Ovis aries: one gene and its partner. The protein of the gene in region 1 binds, or shares a complex with, the protein of each later gene. Links are inferred from orthologs where the notes say so. Each region holds a gene or a part of one and is shown in the gene's direction. Other genes may lie near its edges. The genes, in order: ZBTB8OS and RTRAF.

Region 1 (14,762 bases):
GCGAGACCTAGAACGGAAGTCTTAAGGATTAAGGTTTAGGGGATTAAGTCCTCGAGGATGGTGTTTTAGCCCTTTAAGGGTATCTGTCTAGGGGCGGAGTCTTGGGCGGATGTTGAAAGTCCGGGCTGAAGTCCGGCTGATGAAGGGCGGAAGTTGAGTTTGGGTCCAAACCCGCAATCATGGCGCAGGAAGGGGAAGATGTAAGAGATTACAATTTGACTGAGGAGCAGAAGGCGATCAAGGCCAAGTATCCTCCAGTCAGTCGGAAGTACGAGTGTGAGTAGGTGGCTCACTTCTCTCCTTGCGGGAGGGCTCTGGCTTCCTCTTCCACTTTGCGCCATAGGGTGGTTGGCGCAATTCCCGTTTTCGCCCTGTGTGAATGCTCATCTGAACTAATCCCGGGAAAGCTGAAACGCTGAAGAATAAAGACACCTGGTCTGAGAGTCGGGAAACCTGGGCTCCCCCATATACAATATCTTGAACTCTCCCTGTATATGCTAGTCACATTTATCTTATGGGAATTTTTGTTGTTTAGTTGCTGAGTCCTGTCAGATTCTGCTACCTCAGGGACTGCTGTTCGCCAGCCCCCTCCCCCGCCCCATCTCCTGGAATTTGTTCAAATTTATGTCCATTCAGTCGGTGATGCTATGGAACAATCTAATCCTTTGACCTCCTGCCCCGATTTCCTTTTGCCTTCAATTTTCCCATCATCAGTGAAAGTCGCTCAGTCGTGTCGGACTGTTGGAACCCCATGGATTATATAGTCCATGAAGTTCTCCTGGCCAAAATACTGGAGTGGGTAGCCTTTCACTTCTCCAGGAAATCTTCAGAACTCAAGGATGGAACCCAGGTCTCCCTCAATGCAGGTGGATTCTTTACCAGCTGAGCCAGCAGGAAGCATCAGGGTGTTTTTCAGTGGGTTGGCTGTTTGCACCAAGTGGCCAAAGTATTGGAACTTCAGCTTCCAACTATAGTCCTTCCAATGAATATTCAGGGTTAATGTCGTTTAGAATTGACTGGTTTGATCTCCTTGCAGGCCAAGGGACTCCCAAGACCTGTTCCAGCACCACAATTCAAAAGCATCAATTGTCCCGCGCTCAGCCTTTATGGTCCAGTGCTCACATCAGTCCGTGTGTGTGCATAGTCGCTCAGTCCTGTCGACCCTTTGCAACCCCATGGACTGTGGCCCACCGCGTTCCTCTGTCCATGGGGATTCTCCAGGCAAGAATTCTGGACTGGGTTGCCATGCCCTCCTCCAGGGGATCTTCCCATCCCAGATCAAACCCAGGTCTCTCACATTGCAGGCGGGTTCTTTACCGTCTGAGCCAGCAGGGGAGTCCCACATCCATACAAGACTGCTGGAAAAGCTATAGCTTTGTCTACACAGACCTTTGAGGGAGTTTTACTGGTGTATTCATTGTGAAGAGAGCCATGTTTTGAAGTGTTTTGTGTAACCACCCCCATCCTCATCTATCTCCAACAGTCCTGTAGTTAGAATGTGGCTAGGGTAGAGGATAAGAAAGTTATAAGTAGAGGACTACTAATGTCTTACTTGTATCCTGTGTTAGTAAAAGGACCTGGTTTGCCATTTGTAGCTTAGTGACTTTAGGCAAATCACATAACCTCTTTTTGCATTCTGTTCCTTCCTGTGAGGGCAAAATGAGATAATAATAAATGTGAAAATATAGTGCAGATTCTAAAGTTAGTCTATATAAACGTTAAATTGTTAGCCCTAAAGGTGGATGTGGTTTGGGAGCACAAATTTGGCTCTTATTTCCCCTCTAAAGTTCTTTAATTAATTTCACATTGTTCTCTGTATGCTGGTGTTTAGTTGCTAAGTCCTGTCCAACTTTTTTGACCCCATGGACTAGAGCCCATCAGGCTCCTTTGTCCATGGGTTTCCCAAGGGAAAATACTGGAGTGGGTTGACATTTCCTTCTCCAGGGGATCTTCCCAGCCCGGGTCTTGGAAAACCGTCTCCTGCTTGGTAAGCAGATTCTCTTATCACTGAGCCACCTGGGAAAGTCCTCTGTATAGAGTACAACTATTTATCATAGCATACTAGGCTCTGTACTTTCTAGACCCTGCGTGTCTCCCTAGCTCATTTTTCTCTTCAATCAATTCAGTCACTCACTCAGTTCCAACTCTGCAGCCTCATGGACTGCAGCACACCAGGCTTCCCTGTCCATCAACAACTCCCAGAACTTGCTCAAACTCATGTCAATCAAGTTGGTAATGTCATCCAACCATCTCATCCTCTGTCATCCCCTTCTCCTCCTGCCTTCAATCTTTCCTAGCATCAGGATCTTTTCAAATGAGTCAGTTTAGTCAAAGTATTGGAGTTTCAGCATCAGCCCTTCCAATGAACATTCAGGACTGATTTCCTTTAGGATTGGCTGGTTGGAACTCCTTGCAGTCCAAGGGACTCTCAAGAGTCTTCTCCAACACCGCAGTTCAAAAGCATCAATTCTTCGATGCTCAGCTTTCTTTATAGTTCAACTCACATCCATATATGACCACTGGAAAAACCATAGCCTTGACTAGACGGACCTTTGTTGGCAAAGTAATGTCTCTGCTTTTTAATAAGCTGTCTAGGTTTGTCATAGCTTTTCTTCTAAGGAGCAAGTGTCTTTTAATTTCGTGGCTGTAGTCACCATCTCCAGTAATTTTGGAGCCCAAGAAAATAAAGTCTGTCATTGTTTCCATTGTTTCCCCATCTAGTTGCCATGAAGAGATGGGATAGGGTGCTGTGATCTTTGTTTTTTGAATGTTGAGTTTTAAGCCAACTTTTTCACTCTTTCACTTTCCTCAAGAGGCTCTTTAGTTCCTCTTCTCTTTCTGCCATAGGGTGGTGTCTGAGGTTATTGATATTTCTCCCAGCAATCTTAATTCCAGCTTGTGCTTCATCCAGCCTGGCATTTCTCATGATGTACTCTGCATATAAGTTAAATAAGCAGGGTGACAGTGTATAGCCTTGAAGTACTCCTCTCCCAATTTTGAACCAGTCTGTTGTTCCATGTCTGATTCTAACCATTGCTTCTTGACCTCCATACAGATTTCTCAGGAGGCAGGTAAGGTGGTCTGGTATTCCCATCATTTTTCTCTTTTGATTCAGAATTCAAAAAGTATGACAGGTATGCAGTGAAAAGTCAGCTCTAATCCCAGGCCCCTTGGTCTTGCTTTCTAGATCAGCCAGTCATAACATTTTCATATGTGTACATGCAAAAATGTACTTTAATTTACTCAGTTTCTAGTTGGTGGACATTTACATTTGTACTCGTTTGCTATTAGAAATAATGCAGCAGTGAATACCTGTACATCCATTGTTTGGCACATGTGCATCTGTAGAATAAATTTCCAAAAGTTACATTACTTTGGTAAAGGGTATCTGCATTTTATCAGTATTTTTAAAAATTGGAGTATAGTTGATGTACTGTGTGTGCTTTGCTCAGTTGCTGAATCATGTCCGATTCTGTAACACCATGGAATGTAGCCCACTAGGCTCCTCTGTCCATGGGATTCTCCAGGCAAGAATACTGGAGTGGGTTACCATTTCCTCCTCCAGGGGACCTTCCTGACCCAGGGATCAAACCCACATCTCTTGGGTCTCCTGCACTGGCAGATGGATTCTTTACCAGTATACCAGGTGGAAAGCCCCTAGGTGATGTACAGTGTTGGTTAATTTCTGCTGTACAGTCAAGTGATTCAGTTATATATACTCTTTTTGATACCTGCGTTTTAAACTTCAGTAATTATTGTGAACTCACTGTCTGTTGAAGTGTCACCAATTTATACTCTCAGTAGCGTTGTATGAGTGTGCCTCTTTCCTCACACCCTGTGATTTCATATACCATAGTTTACTTTTGTTTGTTTTAGAGTTTTGTATAAATGGAATCACATAGTACTCATTCTTTTATATCTGGCGTCTTCACTGAGTATCACTGATAAATGTTAGACATTGAAGTGGTGAGTGGACTTTATTCAGTAATTATGGACAGCAGGGGAAAGAGCTGAGATCCCTTTGGATTTGTGCAGAGGAGATTGGACTTTTTAAAAGAAGAATGAGAGATGGGGGAGAGCAGGGGTTTCAGTAGAGACTAGAAATGAAAAGTTACAAAAGCATGGTCAGTGTAAATGTCATTGGAGCAGCAGTGTTTGCTAGCTGGCAGTTACCAAGTTAGAATTCTCTCCCACGGAGCCTGGAAGTTCTTCCTGATGATTACATTTCAGAGGAATGGGAAAGATACTTCTGAGTTGTAAGAGATAAGTATCACAGTCGTAAGCCCTTTTTAGTGAATGCTCTGAGAAAGGGAGGTCAAGGACCTATTGTCAGGGGTTGTTTCGGAACAAACGATAAATTCTCCTACAGTGTATAGCTTTCTCAGGCAGGCATTGTAACGGTGGGGCCATGATGATCCTAGGTACACAGGCTTAAGCTGCTAGAAACCACGCTAAAGTTGGTCAGGTCTCTTAGTGCAGGGAGTTTGGATGGAGATATGTGTGTGAGAGTTCTGCAGCTTTCACTTGATGTTTTTGAGACTCTTGTTAATGCAGTATCACTAGTTCATGCTGTTTTATTGCTGAGCAGTGTGGCATAGTAATCCTCAGTTTATTTATTCATTCTCTTCACAAACATTGGGTTTTTAATTTGGAGGAGTAAAGTTGCTGTGAACATTCTGCCATGTCCTTTTGTGGCCACATACTTTCATTTCTCTAGCATTAAAATGTTGCTTTCCTTTAACTTGTTTGTCATCTCTGCTGGTCATTGAGCCCATTAGTGTCTAAAATGTACTGAGGCTTCAGTAGTATTTTGAGTAAATCAGAGGTGAGCTTAAACCCTGAGTGTTACCAGAAGAAGATGTGTTATGATGTAAAGGGCACTAAACTGGGAGTCAGAAAATCTCAGTTCTAGTCCCAACTCTCATCAGCAGTATGGTCCTAAACAAGTTATACAGTCTCTCAGGATTTCAGGTTTCTTCTTGTAATTGGAGGATTTCTGTTAAATGATCTCTGAGGTTTCATTCTAGCTTGAATATCCTATGATCTTAAGTAGGAGGAATAGATGGGAGTCAGGGTTAAGAGTGAAGAATAGACTCTGAAATACTAAAATAACAGATCCACAGATTACACAGCCGCAGTTGTTACTTCCTGGCGTTGCTGTGAGACTATCAGGAAAAAGCTTGCAATACGTACTGTGGAGTTTACTTTTTAAAACTATTTAACTGACCAAGGATATCATGAGGATTCCTTCAAATGCAAGAAATTAACAAAGATAAAACTTGACTCTTGTTAAAAATAAAAGCCTGTTTTGTCTGGGATTTGGCTAGCTGTTCATGAAAAGGTGAGAACGGGAAATCTGGAATTTTATATCTTTGATGACGTAGTTTCTAGAATTTTGGCCATTCATGAACAGAGGAGCCTGGCAGGCTACAGTTTATGGGGTTGCAGAGTCAGACTAAAATCATGGCATCTGGTCCCGTCACTTCATGGGAAATAGATGGGGAAACAATGGAAACAATAGCTGACTTTAATTTTCTGGGCTCCAAAATCACTGGAGATGGTGATTGCAGCCATGAAATTAAAAGACACTTGCTCCTTGGAAGGAAAGTTATGACCAACCTAGACAGCATATTAAAAGGCAGAGACATTATTTTGCCAACAAAGGTCCGTCTAGTCAAGGCTATGGTTTTTCCAGTGGTCGTGTATGGATGTGAGAGTTGAACTATAAAGAGGGCTGAGCACCAAAGAATTGATGCTTTTGAACTGTGGTGTTGGAGAAGGCTCTTGAGAGTCCCTTGGACTGCAAGGAGATGCAACCAGTCCATCCTAAAGGAGATCAGTCCTGGGTGTTCATTGGAAGGACTGATGCTGAAGCTGAAACTCCAATACTTTGGCCACCTGATCCGAAGAGCTGATTCATTTGAAAAGACCCTGATGCTGAGAAAGATTGAGGGCAGGAGGAGAAGGGGACGACAGACGATGAGATGGTTGGATGGTATCACTGACTCAATGGACATGGGTTCGAGTAAACTCTGGGAGCTGGTGATAGACAGGGAGGCCTGGCATGCTGCAGTTCATGGGGTCACAAAGAATTGGACACGACTGAGCGACTGAACTGAACTGAAAGAGTCAGACATGACTGAGGACTAACACACACACAAGTAGATATTAGGAAAGATATTGATTTGTTTTGTTGGGGAATGTAACTAATAGCAGGAAAGGCATTTGTTTATTGAAAAACTATGATGTATTAGTGAAGTAGGAAATGGCAACCCACTCCAGTATTCTTGCCTGGAAAGTTCCATGGACAGAGGAGCCTGGTAGGCTACAGTCCATGGGATTGCAGAGTCTGACATGACTGGGCACACACACACAAGAAGTGTGTGTACTGTAGTACACACTTTGGAGATCACCTAGAAGACCATGGCCTTGCTGCCTTCCAGAAACTATCATTCATTTATTTAGTTAGTTAGTCTTTAGGTTTTTTGGCCTCGCTGCAGGGCATGTGTGATCTTAGTTCCTCAACCAGAGATTGAACCTGTGTGTGGAGGCCTAATAACTACTGGACTGCCAGGGAATTCTCATCATTCATTTAAATATAAATCTTGGCTTTAAAAGAAATAACCCTGTATCATCAATATGCTAATGTTATATAACTATTCTGTTACTTAATATTAGTTCATTCATTTAATATTAATAGAATAGTAACTGTAAATGCTTAGAAATTTTTAAAAATAAACCTTAACAATGACTTTTGTGTAAATGGTTAGTGAAAGGTGGATGGTCAACCTACATTTTCTTGTTCTTCAAGAATGATGTTCTTAATAATAATCTAGAGTCATTTTCTTGTGATTTGCAAGTCAAGTCTAGTTACTTATTATTGTTTTTTCCTCTCTCCCTCAGATTTGGATCATACAGCCGATGTCCAGTGAGTAGAGCTGGAGTTTATGCCTTTGAAATCATGTGCTTAACACAGGAAGACTAATCTTTTAATCTTGCAGTCCCTAGTTTTAGTTTTTCTCCTCTGTTTTGTTTTCTTTAGAACATGAAAATGATGGTTCAAAAGCACCTGGTTTCAGTGTCATTAAATTGATTGAGGCCTTTGCTTTTGCATTTACAGTGTTGATTTTACTTAGACTTTGCTGTCGAGTTTTCTGTCTTGCAGTGAATCATATTACACAAGGCACGAATGCCTTTCTTTAGGTTACATGCTTGGGGAGACACTCTGGAGGAAGCTTTTGAACAATGTGCAATGGCCATGTTTGGTTACATGACAGATACTGGGACTGTGGAGCCCCTGCAAACAATAGAAGTAGAAACCCAAGGTAATCAATTTGTTCACAAGGAAGAAATTGCTATGCAAGTGTTCAGATGCTATATAATTTCAGTATACACTTACAGGAGGTACAACAAAGTTGATTATGAGCTTGTTCTTTCAAGGAGCCTAAGAAATTTATTGCACTGTAAAATTCAAACAAGTTTTCAGAGATGAGAATTATTAAATACCGTTCTTTATGGTTCTTTCTGACCCTGTGTAGGCGATGACTTACAGTCTCTTCTGTTTCACTTTCTGGATGAGTGGCTTTATAAATTCAGTGCTGATGAATTCTTCATACCCCGGGTAAGCAAGTTTTTATTTTTTACTGAACAAATGGATTTTGAGTCCATATTTTAGAGTAAAACTAGTGATTTAAAACAGAACATTCTATTTAAAATAGAATATATGATGTAAAATGAAACCATTCAGATATGCAAGATGATGACGTGCAGAAATTATGGTGACCATAGGCCCTAGGTTAACTGGAGTTTGCCTATGTATGTGCGTCTCGCATTTAGATCTCATACACTTGCCACTCACTCACTGTTATCTTGAGTCAGAAGAATGCACATACTCTCTTCTCTGTCGGCATGTTTTATGTCTCTCAAGTTTGAGCTTTTTAAATGTTCGTCCATAAGTTCCTTTTGCCCATTTGATATTTAGCAGGTCTGATATGTTCTTATTGTTGTTTAATTGTTCAGTGGTGTTTGACTTTTTTCTCGAAAAAGTAGCCTACCAGGCTCTTCTGTCCATGGGATTTCCCAGGCAAGAGTACTGGAGTGGGTTGCCATTTCCTTTTTCAGGGGATCTTCCTGACCCAGGGATCAAACCTGTCTCCAGCATTGCAGGCTATTCTTTACCCCTGAGCCATTGGTGCTTTTAGGGAATTCCCTGGCGGTCTGCTGGTTAGGACTCTCACTGCTGATGGCCGCCTAGCTGGGGAACTGAGATCCTGCAAGCTGTGTGGTACAGCCAGAAAAAAAATGGTGCTTTTGGTTTCCTTAATGTGAAAAGGGAAAAGCCAGATGGAGGTTACTTTTTGCCATCAGCCTCCAGAAGGGAACACCTCTGCAACCTTATTGTTACTAACACACCTGGCCTTCCTTGCTCCATAATTCCTCCATTTACTCCCTTACCAGCTCCACTACATATATTCTTCTAACTGGGTCATTTGTCCTACAGAGTTCAAGAGTCTATAATATTATATAAAAATAGGTGGAAAGTTTTATCACCTCTAAATCCATAGAGCTGAAAAAAACCCCAGAATGATTGAAATCCTAGGTCATCCTCCACTATGTATCTTACAGAAAAATTCTCATGACTTATACTTTAAATTGTACATTTTCAAGAATACCTCCCTTGAATGGGTAAGAAAAAGCCTTATTTTCTTAAAATACATAGTTTGTTGTTAACATTGTAATTTTCTTTGCTTCAGAGAAGTTGTATGCTATTATCTTGGAAAAGTGATAACCTTGACATGTTTTAATAGCTGGTCTATTATGAACTTCTATTAAAATTAAAAGAAAACTTTTTTCTTCTTTAGGAAGTCAAAGTACTTAATATCGACCAAAGAAATTTCAAAATACGGTCAATTGGGTAAGTTTTGAAAACCTTTTAAGTTACAGGTCATGTAAAATGTTAAGTTACAGTCTTCAGTGTACTCAGTGAGCAGGAAGACAATAGAAACATTAAATCAGAAGACCAGTTGCATCCCTGTAGGGCTTTGCAGGTTAAGCTTGGTGAGCCACCTAGGAGCAAGGGTTCACCTCAGCTTTGGAGGACCAGAAACTTGTCAGGACACAGGTGATTTGAATTGGTAAACAGAATTCCCAATTTGTTGATTTTTAACACACAAAAAATATATCATTGATGGATGGCGCAGATATTTGCATACAACCTCGCTTGGTGATGAGAAATGCTGATGTAGCCTTTCTTATAGATCCTCACACCTAGACTCCATTCAAACCAGTTCCTTCTATTAACAAGTTATACTTTTCCTTCCTGAGTTTGCAAACGCTTGATTAGGGCACTTTGATTGGATTTAGTGTTTTCCAAGTTTCTTTAGTCATCTAATGATCTTTTAGGTTACTTTTATATAAAACTTATCTTTTCCATTTTATGTTGAATTTTTTACGTTTCTTTTGTAAAGTGAGATCTTTTATTATCTCCTACTCCTTTTTTTTTTAATGAATAAGTAAACAGAGTTGTCCAAGGGTAATTAACTAATAAATAGTTGAACAGAGTTTTAAAACTATGCTCTTTCTGATACTGCTACTGCTTTTACTACTGTGAACTTCAGCTACTTTAGTGTTGAAGGGAGAGAGGATACTCATCTCAAGTTCTAGGAGACTGAGTACCCTTCTAGGGCCTACTAGGTACATACCATGGCCATTTTTTGAAAAGTCATAAAATACAAACTTAAGTTCAGATCGTATTATGGAATCTTGTATTTTGCCTTTATGGTGCTCAGACCTGCTTTCTCCAATGGAAGATATTATTTAATCAGTTCTATAGCCCTGAGTACAGTGAAAATTTTGAACATGCTCCTCTATTATGAACCAGTATTCATTAAACAATGTTATTGAGAGTCTACCTATGTACACTGTACTATGCCATGATCAACCTTGTTGAAAAGGATATCGTACAAGTTCAGTAGCTGTATCTGCTGACCATCAAACTGAAATTGATGGCTCCCTTCTCCCTTCATCCCTTTAGGCTTTCTAGTATCTTATGCGTGTGTGCTCAGTTGTGTCCGATTCTTTGTGATCCCATGGTCTGCAGCCTGCCAGGCTCCTCTATCCATGGAATTTTCCTTGTAAAATTACTGGGATGGGTTGCCATTTTGTCCTCCAGGGATCTTTCTGACCGAGGGATTGAACCCACATCTGTATCACCTGCATTGGCAGCCGGTTTCTTTAACACTGAGCCACCTGGGAAGTCTGTATCTTAACCACATTTATAAGGCTTATCTTAAAACGTAGAAAGAGAGAATAAATGTTAAATCCTGGAAATCTTAATCATGTTTTACTCTTTCTTCTCAAGGTGGGGAGAAGAATTCTCATTGTCCAAGCACCCTCAGGTATGTTTTAAAATCCAGCCATTAAAAATAGTTTATTTGACCTTACCGTAAAAAAGTCAGTATATGTTACAGCTAACTTACTAGTTCTCATAAGTTGGTATAAACTCCTAAATTTTTCCCAGACTAATATGACCTGTCTGGACATGTTATGTTAAAACCCTGGAATTTCTGATTTGGAAGATTAGGAGTCTGCCTTGGGCTATAGGGTCAGGTTTGTTACAGAGTGTTTTGGGGCTGAAGAGTCCCTTTCCCTTTTTGAGCTTTCATATCTTTCCCTGTAATGAAGATGTTGGATAGGATGTTCTCTAAACATCCAGTGTTTTGGATACTAGAAAGCCTAAGAAAAGGTGTTCTCTTTTGTGCTTCTCCAGATTCAGTATTTGCCAGTGTATTTGGCTTCAGTGTGTACTAGTCAAATCTGTTTGAATAGGGGTAGGGTGTTTTTTTCCTAATGTTTTGTGCTTTGTGGACTGATAACGATAGAAGAGCAACTATTCTACTCATATATAGCACTAAACAGCCATGGACAACACCTAAATGAATGAATGTGAATGTGTTCCAGTAAAGTGTTTTTTTTCATTCCCCTCCCCCGACTACCATTTAGAAATATAAAAGCTATTCTTACAATTGGGGCTTACATTTATGTGTGGAGCTGTACAAAAATAGGTGGGAGGCCAATCTGACCTTTAATTTGTAGTTTGCTGACCCCTGTGTTTAGGCCAAGAAGACTTAAATTCATTGGAGTTGACTGAGAAATCATGTAGTAGCTTCCAGCAGCTGCAGCAGCATTTCTTCAGTGTAATAAAATGAAGCTTCGTGAGAGAGCCTCGGGGCAGAGAAACTTAAGGACAGAAACCAGTAGAGGTGGAGCATGTGGATTAAAAACAAGTTATTTTTATAATATAAATTACAGTAGCATTTTCTTTTGAATGTATTATGTTTGAGATGCCTATTAGATATCTAAATAGAGATGTTGGATAACAGTAGGCATTTGTCTGTAGAGAAGGGAATAGGCTGAGTTCCCAGGGCCCAGTCTAGACAGTACAGAAGAGGAAGCCTTAAGAAGGAGCCCTGACCCAAACAATAAAAAAGCTTTGTGTTCTTGGAGTCAACCCATTTGGTAAATGTAAAGGCTGGTGCCCAGAGGGGTCAGACAACTTCTGGTCCAGGTGCAAACAAGCCAGGATTATAGTATGCTCCATCTCCTAAGTCAGGTCAGTGCTTTTTCCTGTGTACACGTGTCTCTCATTTTTACTGGTTCAGTGGATAATACTATATCATTTGATAACTGATTGTTTCATATGACTTTTTTAGAATAACATTAAAAGTTTTACTTTCTGCCAATTGTTACTAGAGTTAATGGTTCTGATTTCAATGTCTTTTTTTTTTTAACCCCAACTTTAGGGAACTGAAGTCAAAGCAATAACGTACTCAGCCATGCAGGTCTATAATGAAGAGAAGCCAGAAGTTTTTGTGATCATTGACATTTAAGATGACAAAAGAGAGAGAGAGAGAGATTCCTATGAAGAACTGTTTTTTTCTCTTCCTTTTGACAAGATACCATGATATAAACTCTACATGGAGAATTTATATATGGAGTTTTGCAGAACAGAAATTGTTGACTTAAAATGTGACTTTCAGAAATGAAAAATCAAGGTACAACCTTGGTCTTTGTTACCCAAATAATCAAATTTTAAATAATTCTCTAAGTGGCAAGCATGGCTTCTCCTTCATTAATTCCCCTTTGTAGCAGCAGGTGCCTTACACCTTTCCAACGGAATGCACAAGTCCTCCAGCCTGGTCCCAAGGACGATCATTGATGTAAGAGCAGCCTGAGAGACTCTGAAGCCCGTGTACTCTTACTGAATGCACCTTGGAGAAAATGTAATTTGAGAAATCCTACAACCAGTATTTTGCTTTTTTTCCAAAGTGGTTAACACATATATTTTCTATATGTACATTAAAACAGGTTGTGTTTTGGATTGCTATGGGACAGAGCCCAATCCTGTACTCCAGTTGGTTTTCTTAGATGAAATAATTATATTTGAACAATTGGAAGGCTTTTCTAGAAACAGTCCTGATTTACTTTCACTTTTTTTTTAGCACTGATATACTGACACTTTTTCCCGTAAGATAAAACCTGACGCATATACAAATGGGCCCTTCTTCCTAACATACAATTTTATATTAAAGCCAGTATATTTATACAGTTAGAGAAAAGGAGAATTTTTTTTCAAGTTTCTTTGGTTTTTAAAAATTACCTTAAGCTCTTCATTTCTAAGACGATAAGAGGCCAGGAAAACAGCTTTAAAATGATCTGAACTTTTCGAAGTAGATAACTTTGAAAAAAATCAAACTGCTTTCATTTGACTTGCAGTATTATTCCATTCTCTGTTCATGGATTGAGGTAGTCTTCCTTGTAAAGTGAAAGTGAAGGCGCTCAGTCGTGTCCGACTCTTCGCGACCCCATGGACTGTAGCCTACCGGGCTCCTCTGTCCGTGGGATTTTCCAGGCAATAGTCCTGGAGTGGATTGCCATTTCCTTCTCCAGGGGATCTTCCCAACCCAGGGATTGAACCCGGGTCTCCCGCATTGTAGACAGATGCTTTACCGTCTGAGCCACCAGGGAAGTTGCTATTTATTCACATTAGTGAGAAAAGATTACCACTGGGTGGTGTCAAATATCATTGCATGAACTTGATCTACAAGATGGTCTGTGAGCTTTCTACGTGTTCTGTCTGAGCACCTCCTTATTTTTCTCCGGGGATTTAGCACAAAGACAAGGACAAGAGCCTATGGTTTGGATAGTTAGCTCTTCAAGGATCGCTGAGGTAGCACTCCTTCACCTTTCTTAGTCTCAGGCACATTTTGTATGTTCATTGATTGATTGATCGGCCTCACCAAGTGGCTTTCGGGATCTTAGTTCATTCTAGCTCAAGTCACTTTTCCATGCTGCCTTCCTAACTACTCAAGGTTCAGGGATCTTTGAACTTACACCTCTTTACTTAGCTTTAAAGATTTGGGCTTCCCAGTTGGCTCAGTGGTTAAAAAAAAAGTTGCCTGCCAGTGCAGGTGAAACAGGAAATTTGGGTTTGATCCCTAGGTCGGGAAGATCCCCTGGAGAAGGAAATGGCAACCCACTCCAATATTCTTGCCTGGGAAATCCCAGAGGAGTCTGGCGGGCTACAGCCCATGAGGTCACAAAAGGGTCGGACATGACTTAGCGACTAAACAACAGCAACAAAAGATTTGTAGGCTTATTCAGTTTTACTTGTTTCATGTTCACTAGTCTGCTGCCGCTGCTGCTAAGTCGCTTCAGTCGTGTCCGACTCTGTGCAACCAGGCTCCTCTGTCCTTGGGATTCTCCAGGCAAGAACGCTGGAGTGGGTGTTCACTAGTCTAGATGACACATAATACACATTACTACTCAGTGGTCAGTGGACTAAGTCTCTCAGAGCGCCGTCACTTTTAGCAGAGACCACAGATCAGCTGCTTGAGCATGTCTATAAGAACGCTGGAACTGTAGGTCACAATCTTCGATTCCTAGCCTTTGCTCTCCTGCTTGACCGTGAACCTATTTCCTCATCTATGTATGAAAGGTGTGCATTAGTGATTCCTCAGTTTCTTTCCAATTTTAAATGTCTGGGATCTAGTAATATATTTTAAACAACTGAGCTGAGGGAGAGAAGATACGTGGAACGACTGGAACAGTCGTTTAGCCTAAAAGGTCCAAATCACACCATCTAGGTCTGCTACTGGAGAAGGCAATGGCACCCCACTCCAGTACTCTTGCCTGGGAAATCCCATGGATGGAGGAGCCTGGTGAGCTGCAGTCCATGGGGTCGCTAGAGTCGGACACGACTGAGCGACTTCACTTTCATTTTTCACTTTCATGCATTGGAGAAGGAAATGGCAACCCACTCCAGTGTTCTTACCTGGAGAATCTCAGGGACGGCGGGGGAGCCTGGCAGGCTGCTGTCTCTGGGGTCGCACAGAGTCGGGCATGACTGAAGCGACTTAGCAGCAGCAGCAGGTCTGCTACTAGTCAGCCATTGTCATGGTACAGTGGTGTGTCACATGACGGCAGCTACTTCAGGAAAGCAACAGTAGTGATATGATGACTTTTTCTCACTGATGCCTTGGCTAAGTGGTTACATGTGCCTGCAACCACTCTTGTCAGTTCTCTCTCCACCTTGCTATTACCACTTGGGCTCTGGCAAAGAATGTTCAAGAAGAAAGGGTGGGAAAATAGTTTATACCCTGCTGGAAGTTGGGGAAGTGCCCCTTAGAGACTAGAATTCTGCCCCTTTCTGAAGTCTGAGCTTCAGAAGGTTTGGGAAATTCCAGACAGACTGAGAATTGAGT
Region 2 (15,558 bases), on another chromosome or scaffold:
ATTTACTTCCTATTGGACACTATAGGCCAAAGGACTCCTTCAAATGCAGGGGGGAAGAAAAGACAAATTTTTGTAAATAAAAAAGTTGAATGCTTATAATCTTCTATACTTCTTTTCCAGGATTAGTTTTAGCCCCTGCTCGAGTCTGGTGGTTCCTGCAGCATTCTGTGTGTCTGAATCCTCTTCCAACCTTCTCACACCTGGGGGTGATGACCAGGGAGTTTCAGGTGGCTGATAACTTTGGGCCTGAAATAGAGAGACATGGTCAGGAGCAAAAAACTTAGTGTTTTGCACTAAGGAGTCAATTCCAAAAAGCAAAATTTAAAAGCTGCTTATCCCCACTCTTTAAAGAAATGCACTATCTGTAGTTGCATTAAGCATTCCTTTATTATTTTCCCTTTGTTTATGGGTTCTGGTCATTTTTCTTAATTTTTGGCTGGTACCTCATTAATTATACAATTAGTATAAACCACAGTGTGTGACTAGGGCCACAGCTCTGATCAAATTTTGTTTGAGGCAAAACACTTGGAGGTGATTTTCCTGATTTATTCAGTAAACATCTTATTTGGAAAATATAGATTTTTTCACAGTTCCTCCTTAAAGCTGTATTCTGACCTGATAGCACGCTTTGCACTTCTCAAAATGTATCACTTTATAACTGTAGATCATAAGCACTTATTTACATGCATATTTTTGCTTTTATACTTGAACTTCCATGTGTAGAGTCTTCTCTTGTGTTGTTGGAAGAGGGTGTTTGCTATGACCAGTGCATTTTCTTGGCAAAACTCTATTAGTCTTTGCCCTGCTTCATTCCGCATTCCAAGGCCAAATTTGCCTGTTACTCCAGGTGTTTCTTGACTTCCTACTTTTGCATTCCAGTCCCCTATAATGAAAAGGACATCTTTTTTGGGTGTTAGTTCTAAAAGGTCTTGTAGGTCTTCATAAAACTGTTCAACTTCAGTTTCTTCAGTGTTACCGGTTGGGGCATAGACTTGGATAACTGTGATATTGAATGGTTTGCCTTGGAGACGAACAGAGATCATTCTGTCGTTTTTGAGACTGCATCCAAGTACTGCATTTCAGACTCTTTTGTTGACCATGATGGCTACTCCATTTCTTCTGAGGGATTCCTGCCCGCAGTAGTAGATATAATGGTCACCTGAGTTAAATTCACCCATTCCAGTCCATTTGAGTTCACTGATTCCTAGAATGTCGATGTTCACCCTTTCCATCTCTTGTTTGACCACTTCCAATTTGCCTTGATTCATGGACCTGACATTCCAGGTTCCTATGCAATATTGCTCTTTACAGCATCGGATCTTGCTTCTATCACTAGTCACATCCACAACTGGGTATTGTTTTGGCTTTGGCTCCATCCCTTCATTCTTTCTGGAGTTATTTCTCCACTGATCTCCAGTAGCATATTGGGTACCTAATGACCTGGGGAGTTCCTCTTTTGGTATCCTATCATTTTGCCTTTTCATACTGTTCATAGGGTTCTCAAGGCAAGAATACTGAAGTGGCTTGTCATTCCCTTCTCCAGTGGACCACATTCTGTCAACACCGAAATCAGATTGATTATATTCTTTGCAGTCAAAGATGGAGAAGCTCTATACAGTCAACAAAAACAAGACCAGGAGCTGACTGTGGCTCAGATCATGAACTCCTTATTACCAAATTCAGACTCAAATTGAAGAAAGTAGGGAAAACCGCTAAACCATTCAGGTATGACCTAAATCAAATCCCTTATGATTATACAGTGGAAATGAGGAATAGATTTAAGGGCCTAGATCTGATAGATAGAGTGCCTGGTGAACTATGGAATGAGGTTCGTGACATTGTACAGGAGACAGGGATCAAGACCATCCCCATGGAAAAGAAATGCAAAAAAACAAAATGGCTGTCTGGGGAGCCCTTACAAATAGCTGTGAAAAGAAGAGAGGTGAAAAGCAAAGGAGAAAAGCAAAGATATAAGCATCTAAATGCAGAGTTCCAAAGAATAGCAAGAAGAGATAAGAAAGCCTTCTTCAGTGATCAATGCAAAGACATAGAGGAGAACAACAGAATGGGAAAGACTAGAGATCTCTTCAAGGAAATTAGAGATCCCAAGGGAACATTTCATGCAAAGATGGGCTCGATAAAGACAGAAATGGTATGGACCTTACAAAAGCAGAAGATATTAAGAAGAGGTGGCAAGAATACACAGAAGAACTGTACAAAAAAGATCTTCACGACCCAGACAATCATGATGATGTGATCACTAATCTAGAGCCAGACATCTTGAAAAGTGAAGTCAAGTGGGCCTTAGAAAGCATCACTACAAACAAAGCTAGTGGAGGTGATGGAATTCCAGTTGAGCTGTTTCAAATCCTGAAAGATGATGCTGTGAAAGTGCTGCACTCAATATGCCAGCAAATTTGGAAAACTCAGCAGTGGCCACAGGACTGGAAAAGATCAGTTTTCATTCCAATCCCAAAGAAAGGCAATGCCAAGGAATGCTCAAACTACTGCACAATTGCACTCATCTCACATGCTAGTAAAGTAATGCTCAAAATTCTCCAAGGCAGGCTTCAGCAATACGTGAACCGTGAACTCTCTGATGTTCAAGCTGGTTTTAGAAAAGGCAGAGGAACCAGAGATCAAATTGCCAACATCCGCTGGATCATGGAAAAAGCAAGAGAGTTCCAGAAAAACATCTATTTCTGCTTTATTGACTATGCCAAAGCCTTTGACTGTGTGGATCACAATAAACTGTGGAAAATTCTGAAAGAGAAGGGAATACCAGACCACCTAACCTGCCTCTTAAGAAACCTCTATGCAGGTCAGGAAACAACAGTTAGAACTGGACATGGAACAACAGACTGGTTCCAAATAGGAAAAGGAGTACGTCAAGGCTGTATATTGTCACCCTGCTTATTTAACTTATATGCAGAGTACATCATGAGAAACTCTGGACTGGAAGAAACACAAGCTGGGATCAAGATTGCCGGGAGAAATATCAATAACCTCACATATGCAGATGACACCACTCTTATGGCAGAAAGTGAAGAGGAGCTAAAAAGCCTCTTGATGAAAGTGAAAGAGGAGAGTGAAGAAGTTGGCTTAAAGCATTCAGAAAATGAAGATCATGGCATCCGGTCCCGTCACTTCATGGGAAATAGATGGGAAACAGTGGAAACAGTGTCAGACTTTATTTTTTTGGGCTCCAAAATCACTGCAGATGGTGACTGCAGCCATGAAATTAAAAGACACTTACTCCTTGGAAGAAAAGTTATGACCAACCTAGATAGCATATTCAAAAGCAGAGACATTACTTTGCCAACAAAGGTCCATCTAGTCAAGGCTATGGTTTTTCCAGTGGTCATGTATGGATGTGAGAGTTGGACTCTGAAGAAGGCTGAGCGCCGAAGAATTGATGCTTTTGAACTGTGGTGTTGGAGAAGACTCTTGAGAGTCCCTTGGACTGCAAGGAGATCAACCCTGGGGTTTCTTTGGAAGGAATAATGATAAAGCTGAAGCTCCAGTACTTTGGCTACCTCACGCGAAGAGTTGACTCATTGGAAAAGACTCTGATGCTGGGAGGGATTGGGGGCAGGAGGAGAAGGGGACGACAGAGGATGAGATGGCTGGATGGCATCACGGACTCGATGGACGTGAGTCTGAGTGAACTCTGGGAGAATGTGATGGACAGGGAGGCCTGGCATGCTGCGATTCACGGGGTCGCAAAGAGTTGGACATGACTGAGTGATTGAACTGAACTGAACTGAACTTGAACTTCCTGAAAATATCTAACTCATTTGTAGGCCCCACAAATGCTAACACAGTGTTTAATTATAATCTGTTGAAATGAAATTTATATAATTGGCTTACCCCCCAAGAACTTCAATAGTTCCCAGTAGCATGGCATGAAAGATCCTTCTTGCTCAGGTCCTTGCCTCTGTCCAAGTCTCATCAGCTGTCATTCTGTCCTACCCTCCAGCTCCCATAAGTTCTAGCCCCCCTGGGCCATGCCTTGCCTTTGTATATCCTCTTCCCTCAAGACAAGTTACCCTTTTGACTGCATGGTGAACTTACCACCTTCAAGTCATAATTTAAGCTTGTTTGTCTGTTTATTGCTTTTCTTCCCTCTAGGGCTTATAAACTTCATAAAAGTAGAGGCTTGGTCTCTCTGGCTCACTGTTGTCTGTCCAGTATCTGAAAGCAGATGGGGACTGAATCAGGAAGGATCTTAAATATGATAAGGAGTTTTGATGATTGCTAGAAGGCAATGAGGACCCACTGAAAGATACTAAGCATTAAACTGTTATGGACAGGTTTTTGTTTTAGGAGGTTTTTATTTTACAAAATCACTATCATTGCTGTGTGGGGGAGTGGGCTGGAGAAGGCAAAACTGGCTCTAAGAAATCAGATAATTAGAGCAAGCAAAAATTATGAATCCCTGATTTGAGGTAGCAACAGTGAGGTTGGGAAGAGGTGAGGAATTTGAGAGGCAGAACAGCAGGAATCAAGGAGCTACTGGATGTTGTAACTGCAGTCAGAGGGAGTAAAGGGTAAGTCCAGGTTTCTGGCTTCAAAATTTCGTGGTTGCTAGACATGTCAGGAACTATCACGTAGTATTACAGTTGTATGTTTATCTATGGACCACTCCTAACAAGTCATGTGTATGCATACTCAGTCGCTTCAGTCGTGTCCGACTCTTTGCGACCCTACAGACTGTAGCCCGCCAGTGCATGGAATTTTCCAGGCAAGAATACTGGAGTGGGTTGCCATTTTCTTCTTCAGGGGATCTTCCCAACCCAGGGATCAAACCCAGGTCTCTTGCATTGGCAGGCGGGTTCTTCTACCACTAGCGCCACCTGGGAAGCCGAAGGAGTCATAAAGTGGTGGTTTGAGTGAGTGAAGTCACTCAGTCGTGTCCGACTCTTTGTGACCCAGTGGTCTGTAGCCTACCAGGCTCCTCCATCCATGGGATTCTCCAGGCAAGAATACTGGAGTGGGTTGCCATTTCCTTCTCCAGGGGATCTTCCCGACCCAGGAATCGAAGCCAGGTCTCCCACATTGCAGGCAGATTCTTTCCCGACTGAGCCAGGAGGGAAGGCCCAGTCATAAACGGACCTTGCTAAAAGTCTTTGTATTAGCCTTGTTAGAAGAGCACCTATTATGTAGGAGGCATATAATTAAATGAATGAATGAATGAATACACTGAAAATACTAAACAGTTTGTATGGTCCAATAAGAGGTATGGCCCATAGCAGAAATTCTAAGGATACTGTTCTTTGCGTGCTGTTATCAAGACCGCGAAGAAAGCAAGCGGTAACTATGTTTCTCAGTTGCTCTCTGCCTATTGTACAACTAGAAAGCTGACAATAAAGTTTATTTAAGCGTCGACGTGCCCCGACGTGGCCCCGCCTCCCCAGCCAGAGCCGCGATTGGTGGGCATTGTCCAGAGGCTGCCGTTCCTAAGCCACGATTGGCTAAGGCCGCCGTCATTTCGGAGCTCCCGGTGCCCGCCCGCCTTCTCGTCGCGTCACCCGTGTCTGCGCCTCCTGCTTCTCCTTGCCTTGCCTCGCCTCGCCTCTCCCGGCCGCATCCCGGGGGACCGGAGCGAGCAGCGGGGACCATGTTCCGACGCAAGTTGACGGCCCTTGACTACCACAACCCTGCCGGCTTCAACTGCAAAGGTGAGGCGGCGGCCCCGGGCCCGCAGCGCGTCCGTGACCGGCCGGCCGCCGCTTTCTCAGCGCCGGCTCCTGGGCTCTCCACCCGGACCGTCCGCGGCCTTGTCTCCCCGGCGCCCCTCTCCTCTTGGCCCCGAATACCTCTGCTTTCTCCCATCCTTCCTTCTCCGCTACCCACTCTTGCCTCGGCATCGCCACTTTCTGCACTTGCTAAACTCCAGACACCACCCCCACAGCCCTCGCCCGCGCCCTCAGCACTCTAGAAGGAAAGTCTTCGCTTTTTAACTTAGCCCTTCAGCCCCGTGTTTCACGGGTGATTGGGCGATACCCTGAGCACCTGCTGGGGTCGGCACAGTGCTGGAATTCGAAGAGAAAAACCGAGTAACTTGAAGACTCGTTCAGGGAACTAAGGAGGGGAGGGATTAGGAATAAGGGCAGTTAGAACCCATCCAGTAGTTTGAGCCCAAGACAAAAATGAAGTCCAAGACAGTGTTGGGGTGAGCGCGTGTATTAACGAGCTAATTACAGTGTGGGGGTTGTGGGGGGGGGGAGTTAATAGATGAGCGGGGCGGTTGAATTGTAAATACAAAGGTGTTTGGGATTTCACAGCTTGAAACTGTAGAAAGTATTAAGATTGCTACCCACTGCTACTCACCTGTCGCCCACGACTACTTATTTTCTTCCAGAATTCTTGGCCTGTGGTAGATTAAGTTTGAAAGGGATCACGTAACACCTGGGATGTTAAGACCATTGTGTATTCTCAAGACTTGGGGAAGCTGGAATTTGAACTCAAGCTTGAACTTGAAAATTGAAGATGATTTCCAAGCAGGATGACAGTGTTTTGTCATCTCCTGTAGAAGCATGTCATCTTACAGAATCTTGTTTTTCTGCTTTGCCTTTTATTTAACAAAAAAGGTTCAGTAGGAATAGAGCTTAGATATGGTTTTGAAACTTTGAGCCTCAACTTTTTCACTGGTAAAATGGGGATATTACTTACCTCAAAAGCATATGGAAGGATTAAATGAAACCACATGCACACTATTTCATGAATGTGTTTAATGTCCTTAATAGCAAATGACAGTGATAGTCGGTATCCTTGTTGTGATCGCCATTTAATTTCTTGTACTTTATTGTTGCTATTAATTTAACCTTGCACAGTCCATTCTCCCCCTTTTCCTCACAGGAACTGAAATAATAACTGACACTTAAGTAGCAAAATTGTGTGCCAGGCACTGTTTTTATTGTTATTTTATTAAATCTTTCATAACAAGCCTATGAGGTAAGTCCCCATTTTGTAACTCAAGAATCTGAGGCACAGAAAATTTAATTAGCCCAGGTTCACACAACCACTAAATTTCTGGAGCCAGAATTTGAATTTGGGCCAGAATATGAACAGAAGTTAATTCAAAGTCTGTACATTCAACTCCTACTTCAAGCAGCTCAAGTAATTTATGATTTTGCAGTTTAAAAAAAAAATTCCACAAGACTGTTTGTGGAGAAGGAAGTGTTTTACCTAGTGCTTCTCATGGGCTTCCCTTGTGGCTCAGCTGGGAAGGAATCTGCTTACAATGCGGGGAACCCTGGGTTCGATCCTTGGGTTGGGAAGATCTCCTGGAAAAGGGAAAGGCTACCTCTTCCAGTATTCTGACCTGGAGAATTCCGTGGACTGTATATAGTTCATGGGGAGGCAAAGAGTCAGACACGACTGAGCAGCTTTCACTTTCTTGTGATTTCTATGGTGTTTTTATTACAGATGAAACAGAATTTAGAAACTTCATTGTTTGGCTTGAAGACCAGAAAATCAGACACTATAAAATTGAAGACAGAGGTAACTTAAGAAACATCCACAGCAGTGACTGGCCCAAGTTCTTTGAACAGGTAATGAATTAGAAAGTAAAATATACCAAGAGCTTGTCTATGAAGACAGCTTTTAAAATAATATAATTTTTCTTTTAAAATAATATAGCTGAATAAAATGGATGTTTTATTTGCAGGGCAGGAAGAGAGATGCAGACTTAAAAAACACTTGAATACAGCAGGGGAAAGAGAGGGTGGGACAGACTGGAAGATTAGGATTGATGTATATACACTGCCATGTGTAAAGTAGATACTGGGAAGTCAGTGTATATAGTGCAGGGAGCTCAGCTCGGTGCTCTGTGATGACCTAGATGGGGGATGAGTGGAATGGGGGGTCGGGTAGGAGGGAGGTCTAAGAGGGAGGAGATACACACACATACACAGGCATAAGTAAGTCATTGACAGCAGAAACTAACACAACATTGTAAAGCAATTATACTCCAAACAATAATAATAATAATAATCAGTGTTAGAAAAGCTTGATTTCAGGGATGGAATTTTTTTTTTTTAAGCATATTCTCTCTTCCTACCAAGCATTCAGTATTAGATAGAAATAGTATGGTGAACCATCAGGCATGAGGGCGGGGGCAGGGGTATAGGGGATAAAGAGTTTGATCTTGATGGAACTAGGGAGCTCTCACAGTTTTAGGTGATATGACTGGACTAGTGTTGCCACTCCTCAGCTTTCCCAACCAATCCCTGGCTTCTCGAAACTGTCAGCATTAAGGTAATGTATCTGGAGAGCAGGCCTTTATCCCCAGTACTTAGATAAGTGCCTGACATTCAACAGAAGGATCTGTTTCTTTCATGAAAATATATATTTATAAGTGTGTATTTGTATACATATATGTTCTGAATATAAATGAGTGATTGATATGTCAGTATTCATTTCTGCATTTTCCCTATAGCAAAATTTATTCAAATCTTCTAGGGCCCTGTACCTGACTAGCAGGCTGCCCATTGAAAACAAGCTTTATAAACTATTAACTAATAAAAGTAATGGCACAGTTAGACACTCAAAAGAAATAGTGTAGTCCAAAAAACAAAGAGACTTCTTAATTAAACAGTGATACATATTATATAAATAGTAAAAATGGCCAAAATAAGATTTTTTACATTACATTAAAATGTAGCAGAAATAGTATTATATTAAAATAAGACATTATTAACATGATTGTAAACTAAGGTTCTCTTGTGTTTTCTTATATTTAATATACACAGTTCTCCTTTGTTGTGTACTATAGAAATAATACTTTTTAAAAAATGGTATTATCTTATTTTTGTGGGTGGAATAACTTTTTCATTGACCTAGTTTAATTTTAGTAACATTTTTGCAGAAAACAGTTTTTTTCAAATTAGAATAAAAATTACATTTTACAGTGTCATTATATTAAACATTTTATCAGCTCTGTTACTTTGATGAGATCTTTTCCTTTAAGAATTTGAAAATGATGATGTATGGCAAAACCAATACATACTGTAAAGTAATAACCTCCAATTAAAATAAATAAATTTATATTTTTTAAAAAAATTTGAAAATGATTTAATTTTTCATTGACTGGAGCAGAGTGTTTAGGTAGCTAACTTTCTCCTTTTGTGGACTAGGGAACTATGTAAGTTACATACTATCTCTGTGACAGTGAGTAAGTTTATTAACCTTTCTGTGGCTCTAGATTTTTATCAATAAATGGGGATAACAGTGGTATCTTAGCTCAGGAGTGGCATATTGTTAATGAAATATACCTTCAGCCTGTCACAGAGGTGCCTGGCCCATCGCAAGTGCTATATGTTTGTTGATATTCCTGCTTCTGCTACTAATACTGGTACCACTAGATCATTTTCCTTTACCCTTCAAAACTATATTTTGAAATTTTTGACAGACTTGTTAAGACTTTGAAATACATTATTAGAATTTTATATTTGCTTTTATCACATTTTACTTACTGGTCTACTTGTGTACAAGACGATACAGAGTTCCACATGTAGGAGGGTGTTGAAGAATAATAAACTTTCCAATGAAAAAGACCCAGAAATGACAGTAAAGTAGTATGACCTAAAGATAAATATATTGGAACTCTCTTTGGAATGATGATGTCATTGCTTAAAGCATATTTAGAACTTCTTTTGGAATTACTTTTAGATCAAGAGACTTATTTTGAATATTGGCAGTTTTTTTATGCTTTGAAGGTGGGTTTGCTTTTTGTATCATGACTAAATCTTGTGAATGAGGTGCCTTTTTTTTTTTTATAGAAGCAGGTGAATAACATTTTTGGTTAGAAAATAAGTTATGGTTAAAAAGTGCTGATTCATTAGGTATCCACCAAAGGATTTCCAGAAGGTTTGAGTTATAGCATTGTTGTGGGATTAGATTTTAAGCTCCTGAGATATTTACTTTAAGGACATGCTCATTTGAATATATTGCTTCTGATGTTTATTCAAAACACCAGTGTGTCACATAGCTTACTCTGTTGGACGCGTTCCAAAATATGAAAGCTAAGGTTTAGATAATAATTGGGTTTTGCACTCTCAGACATAAATCACAGCAGGATCCTCTATGATCCACCTCCCAGAATTCTGGAAATAAAAGCAAAAATAAACAAATGGGATCTAATTAAAATCGAAAGCTTCTGCACAACAAAGGAAAATATAAGCAAGGTGAAAAAACAGCCTTCTGAATGGGAGAAAATAATAGCAAATGAAGCAACTGACAAACAACTAATCTCAAAAATATACAAGCAACTTATGCAGCTCAACTCCAGAAAAATAAACGACCCAATCAAAAAATGGGCCAAAGAACTAAATAGACATTTCTCCAAAGAAGACATACGGATGGCTAACAAACACATGAAAAGATGCTCAACATCACTCATTATTAGAGAAATGCAAATCAAAACCATAATGAGGTGCCACTTCACACCAGTCAGAATGGCTGCGATCCAAAAATCTGCAAGCAATAAATGCTGGAGAGGGTGTGGAGAAAAGGGAACCCTCCTACACTGTTGGTGGGAATGCAAACTAGTACAGCCACTATGGAGAACAGTGTGGAGATTCCTTAAAAAATTGCAAATAGAACTACCTTATGACCCAGCAATCCCACTTCTGGGCATACACACCGAGGAAACCAGAATTGAAAGAGACACATGTACCCCAATGTTCATCGCAGCACTGTTTATAATAGCCAGCACATGGAAACAACCTAGATGTCCATCAGCAGATGAATGGATAAGAAAGCTGTGGTACATATACACAATGGAGTATTACTCAGCCGTTAAAAAGAATTCATTTGAATCAGTTCTGATGAGATGGATGAAACTGGAGCCGATTATACAGAGTGAAGTAAGCCAGAAAGAAAAACACCAATACAGTATACTAACACATATATATGGAATTTAGGAAGATGGCAATGACGACCCTGTATGCAAGACAGGGAAAGAGACACAGATGTGTATAACGGACTTTTGGACTCAGAGGGAGAGGGAGAGGGTGGGATGATTTGGGAGAATGACATTCTAACATGTATACTATCATGTGAATTGAATCGCCAGTCTATGTCTGACGCAGGATGCAGCATGCTTGGGGCTGGTGCATGGGGATGACCCAGAAAGATGTTATGGGGAGGGAGGTGGGAGGGGGGTTCATGTTTGGGAATGCATGTAAGAATTAAAGATTTTAAAATTTAAAAAATAAAAACTAAAAAAAAAAAAAAAAATTGGGTTTTGTTTTTTGATACATATTTTTATTTAACTACTCTGTGTATTGAGACCTAGAATCATATGGTTTAGATTCAGGTCCCTGATTTCAGTTGTGTAACTGTCAGGAAGTGTTGACCTATAGGCTTTGGTTTTCTCATCTACAAAATGAAGTTATCGTAGATCAGTGATACCCTGTCTGCAATCTGCAAAAGTAAAACTTTCATAAACCATGATGGAAGTACTTAATTTTTTTCCTAAGTAGTATATGCTTAAATGGGTTATATAATTGCATCAAAGGTTTAGTAATATAAATGTTGCAAGAAATTCTTAAGAGATACAAACTCAGGTCTCTTAATTCTACCGTGTTTTATTTTGTGACTTTATAGTAACAATGAAGCAATTTTCTTTTTCCTTCACAGTATCTCAGAGATGTTAACTGTCCTTTCAAGATTCAAGATCGACAGGAAGCAATTGACTGGCTTCTTGGCTTAGCTGTTAGACTTGAGTATGGAGATAATGGTATGTTTTGTGGGGAATATATTGTTTCAGAGAGAAAGGGTGGGAAAGGGGGTTAAAAATGTAGGGAACTTGCCCGTTTGTCTTAGATTGTTTTACCTTTGATTCATTTTAAGTTTTGTACATCCTCATCTCACTTTGCAGTATCTGATTAAAATTTTACTTTTTGTTTGTAGTCATTCTGGATTTTCTCTTTTAGAATTTGAAGGTGATGTCCTCTCACAAAGTCACATCACTTCAGTTAATTTGCCGGCTCGGCACAGTCTGGACCTTAGCCTTCAAGTTCACTTTTTGCTACTGTCCCAGAATTAATAGGATTTCAAGTCTTGGTTGCAGCAGCCAGTTTCACTAGAGACTGAAATATACATCTAATGCAGATATGCACAATAAGCCAAAATATATTTATTATTCATGTTTAACATTATTTTATTACAGATACTGATATCATTGGAAGATTTTGAATATTAATACTTATTGTGAAAATAGTTTTCCAATAAACCATTTTCTCTCATTAGGCCATTTCATTTTGAAAGGCCTGTTAACATCTAAATGTAAGATCCGATTATCTTATTTTATCTCCATCTTCTGCATTTATGTTGTTCTCTTTCTTGCGACTATCAGTTCCAGTCTTAATCATTTGCTTTTGAAGCCTTTTTAATGCCTTTTGTTGTTTAGTCTTTAAGTCATGTCTGACTCTTTGGGAATCCATGGACTGTAGCCTACCAGGCTCCTCTGTCCATGGAATTTCCTAGGCAAGAATCCTGGAGTAGGTTGCGAGAAATGCTCCAGATTTGGTTTCAGCGTCTTTGGCCCTCTTTTCTTCCCATCCATCTTTTCCTTTGTCTGCTGTATCTTTCATTCTGCATCTCCACTGCTGTCACCCTAATTCTAGCTCTTGTCCCTTTCTCCTGAGATTATCGTAACACCTTTCATAGTAGTCTCCCATCTGTGTCACCCTCTGTTTTCATCCACATAGCCCCCAGCAAGCTAATTTTTTAAACATAAATGTTTTAGGATGCTACACTTTGTCTCCAAAGAATAGTTCCTTTTATATGTTCACAAACACCATTGCTTTCCCATTTTCTACAGAAGGAATTCCAGGCTCCTTAGCATGATATTCAAAGCCTTTAAACTAGTATTCATATACTTGCCACCCCAGCCAAACTGCAGTAATGCTGTTTCCTCTTTCCATCTCCTTTTTTCCCCCTTCTTTCTTTGCTTTCACTTTTCCTTTGGCTAATATGCCATTTCAGTCTGTCTGTCCTTGTAAGATCCAGCTCAAATGCCAGCTAGCAGCAATGATACTTACTTCTTAACTTTCATAACTTTTACCTCAATACCTTTTTAGATCATTTTCACTTTCCATTTTGCTCGTCTTACTGGCCTCACTAAATTGTAAGCTGATACTCAGCCTTGTTTTCTACATGGTACCTCTGTGAATTTCGTGTTGCTGCTGTAACATATTGCCATGAACTCAGTGATTTAAAAGACAGTATCTTACAGTTTTGGAGGTCAGAAGTCCAACACCTGTATCAGGACTAAAGTCAGTTTGTCGACAGGGCTGGTTTGTTTTGGAGGCTCTAGGGGAGGATTCATTTCTTTGTCTTTTCCGTCTTCCGGAGGCTGCCTGCTTTCTGCTCCCTTTGTCTTCGAGTCTAGCTGCATAGCAAGTTCTAATCTCTGTAATTCTGCTTTCATTGTCACCTCTTCTCTGACCTTCCTGCCTCCCTCTTCTAAGGATGCTGTGATTTCATCGTGCCCACCTAGATAATCCAGGGTAATCCGCCACCCCCAGTTTCAAGGTCCTTAATTCAGTCACACCCACACAGTCCTTTCTGCCACGTAAGATACCATATTCATAACTTCTAGGGATTGCAGTATGGCCGTCTTTTGTGGGGAGGGAGCAGTCATGATTCTCTCTGCCACAGTGCCTGGTGTAATTTCTTGTGTACAATAGATGTGCTTATCAATTTTAATAAATCCTTGGTAAGTGCAGTATATTAACGTAAGTACAGGTATTTCTCAGTGACAGCATGGTTTCTTTTAATGTGTAAAAAAGCTGAGTTTGTATCTGAAACACTGCCCCTTATCAGTAGGGGGCACTGTTGCTCTCTTATGGCTTTACGTTGGTGAGTTCATTCTTCTTGACTTTTAAGTTATTTAAAATTTTTATTTTTGATAAATTATGAATTTTTATTATTTATGCCATAATATTTTGTAAAGCCTTTAGCTTGCTTGTCAATTAAGGTGGTTAAAAGCTAACTTAAGTTCTTCTAACTTTTTTTGATAATTTAAAATTTACAGATATGTTGCAGGAATAATAAAAAGAATTATTACATACTCAAATTCTGCAGGCGTTATTAACATTTTACTTCATTTGCCTTATCCTTTTCTGTGTATTCACATACTCCTAATTTTTTTCTAAACCATCTGACACTAAATTGTAGATGATTTCTCTTTTAAGTACTTAAATGCACATTTCCTAAAAGAAAAAGTCATTGTCTTACATAGCTGCAGTATGCTTATCATAATCAGATTAACTTTGATTCTCTGCTGTTGTCTGTAGGTATTACTCACATTTCAGTGTTTGTCTCAGTAATGTTCTCTACGGCAAAAACAAGCGAATAAAAACCTCCAGAGCAATCCTGGATGGTGTGTTTTGTTCATTCTCGTTCATCTCTTGTGTTCATTCTCCTGCACTCCGGAACGATTTACTCAGTCTTTGTGCTTTAGGACAGTGACGTTTATTTTGTAGAATGTCCTTCAGTTTGGGTGTGTCTGATGGTTCCTCGTGGTTGGGTTGAGAGTTTGTAGTTTTATTAAGAATAATACAAGTTATGTTGCATTCTTGTTAAGTACCTCATATTAGGATGCATGTGTTAGTGATATACCTAAATGTTAGTCATTTTGCTGATCACTTCGGTAAACTTTCTTCAGTGTAAAGTTACTGTTTTCCCCTTTGCGATAAATATGTGTCTTATTTTTTTCTTTTTGACTGCACCTCACAGGATGCAAGACCTTGGTTCATCAAACCCCATGCCCTCTGCGGTGGAAGACCAGAGGCCTAGTCACTGAAATTCCTTAGATACATATCTTGGAAAAGAGATACTTTGAGATGATTTCTCTGTGCTTTTCTTCCTTAAACCTTAGCTTTAGTATCCATTTGATGATTCTGGCCTGAGTCAATTATTATTGATTATGATGGCCAGAAAGTGTTTTTCTAATTCCATCATTCTCCATTTTTTTTGGCTTTCCACTGAAAGGCCTTTAAGAGCAGTTTCCTTCTTACCAATGGATGTTTTTATTCAAATCAGTATAGATATGTGAATTCTTATTTTACTCAGTGGGTTTTAATCCTTATTTGTCATCATGTATTTAAATGTTTGTTCCAGATTTGGCTAGTGGGGACTCCTTTCAGCTAATTTCTATCTGACTTAAATTTTAATGCTTTTATTTTCCCTTTTTTTTTTTTTAAGCAAATCATAAAAGCACTGTAGCCAAAGATGTCTTTGGGGGCATTAAATTTAGTGAATTACTATTAAATATTTTTATTTGTAAAATCTTAAAATATTATTTTTCAAGTAGAGCTAATAAAATCTATTTTTGGAATTCTGTATTTTAAGACTCAAAAGTGTAGCTTTGTGTATCATGGTGTATTTGAAGTGCTGTTTTTTCTAGAAAGCAAAGTTTTTGATTCTGTATACAGCATTGAAAAGAAATTTTGGTAAGAAACTTCTTAGTGAGTTTGTATTTAACCTCATGTGACCTATATTTACCCACTTCCCATTCTTCTACCCCTCCGAAGTTTCAGAGGA

What was found.
Region 2: ZBTB8OS (region 1) and RTRAF share a complex: the UniProt entries of both Homo sapiens proteins name them as parts of the tRNA-splicing ligase complex. The link is inferred for Ovis aries from reciprocal best matches to the Homo sapiens genes ZBTB8OS and RTRAF.

What each region holds. Positions count from the first base shown.
Region 1 is NC_056055.1:234,984,827-234,999,588, forward strand, and holds ZBTB8OS (protein archease), read left to right. Parts: upstream 1-155; 5' UTR 156-179; coding exon 180-276; exon of another isoform or gene 277-280; intron 281-6,903; coding exon 6,904-6,928; intron 6,929-7,203; coding exon 7,204-7,325; intron 7,326-7,538; coding exon 7,539-7,621; intron 7,622-8,861; coding exon 8,862-8,914; intron 8,915-10,360; coding exon 10,361-10,397; intron 10,398-11,801; coding exon 11,802-11,888; 3' UTR 11,889-12,617; downstream 12,618-14,762. UniProt on the Homo sapiens protein: Component of the tRNA-splicing ligase complex required to facilitate the enzymatic turnover of catalytic subunit RTCB. Together with DDX1, acts by facilitating the guanylylation of RTCB, a key intermediate step in tRNA ligation.
Region 2 is NC_056060.1:43,078,769-43,094,326, forward strand, and holds the start of RTRAF (RNA transcription, translation and transport factor protein), read left to right. Parts: upstream 1-5,515; 5' UTR 5,516-5,620; coding exon 5,621-5,681; intron 5,682-7,431; coding exon 7,432-7,556; intron 7,557-11,646; coding exon 11,647-11,746; intron 11,747-15,558. UniProt on the Homo sapiens protein: RNA-binding protein involved in modulation of mRNA transcription by Polymerase II. Component of the tRNA-splicing ligase complex and is required for tRNA ligation.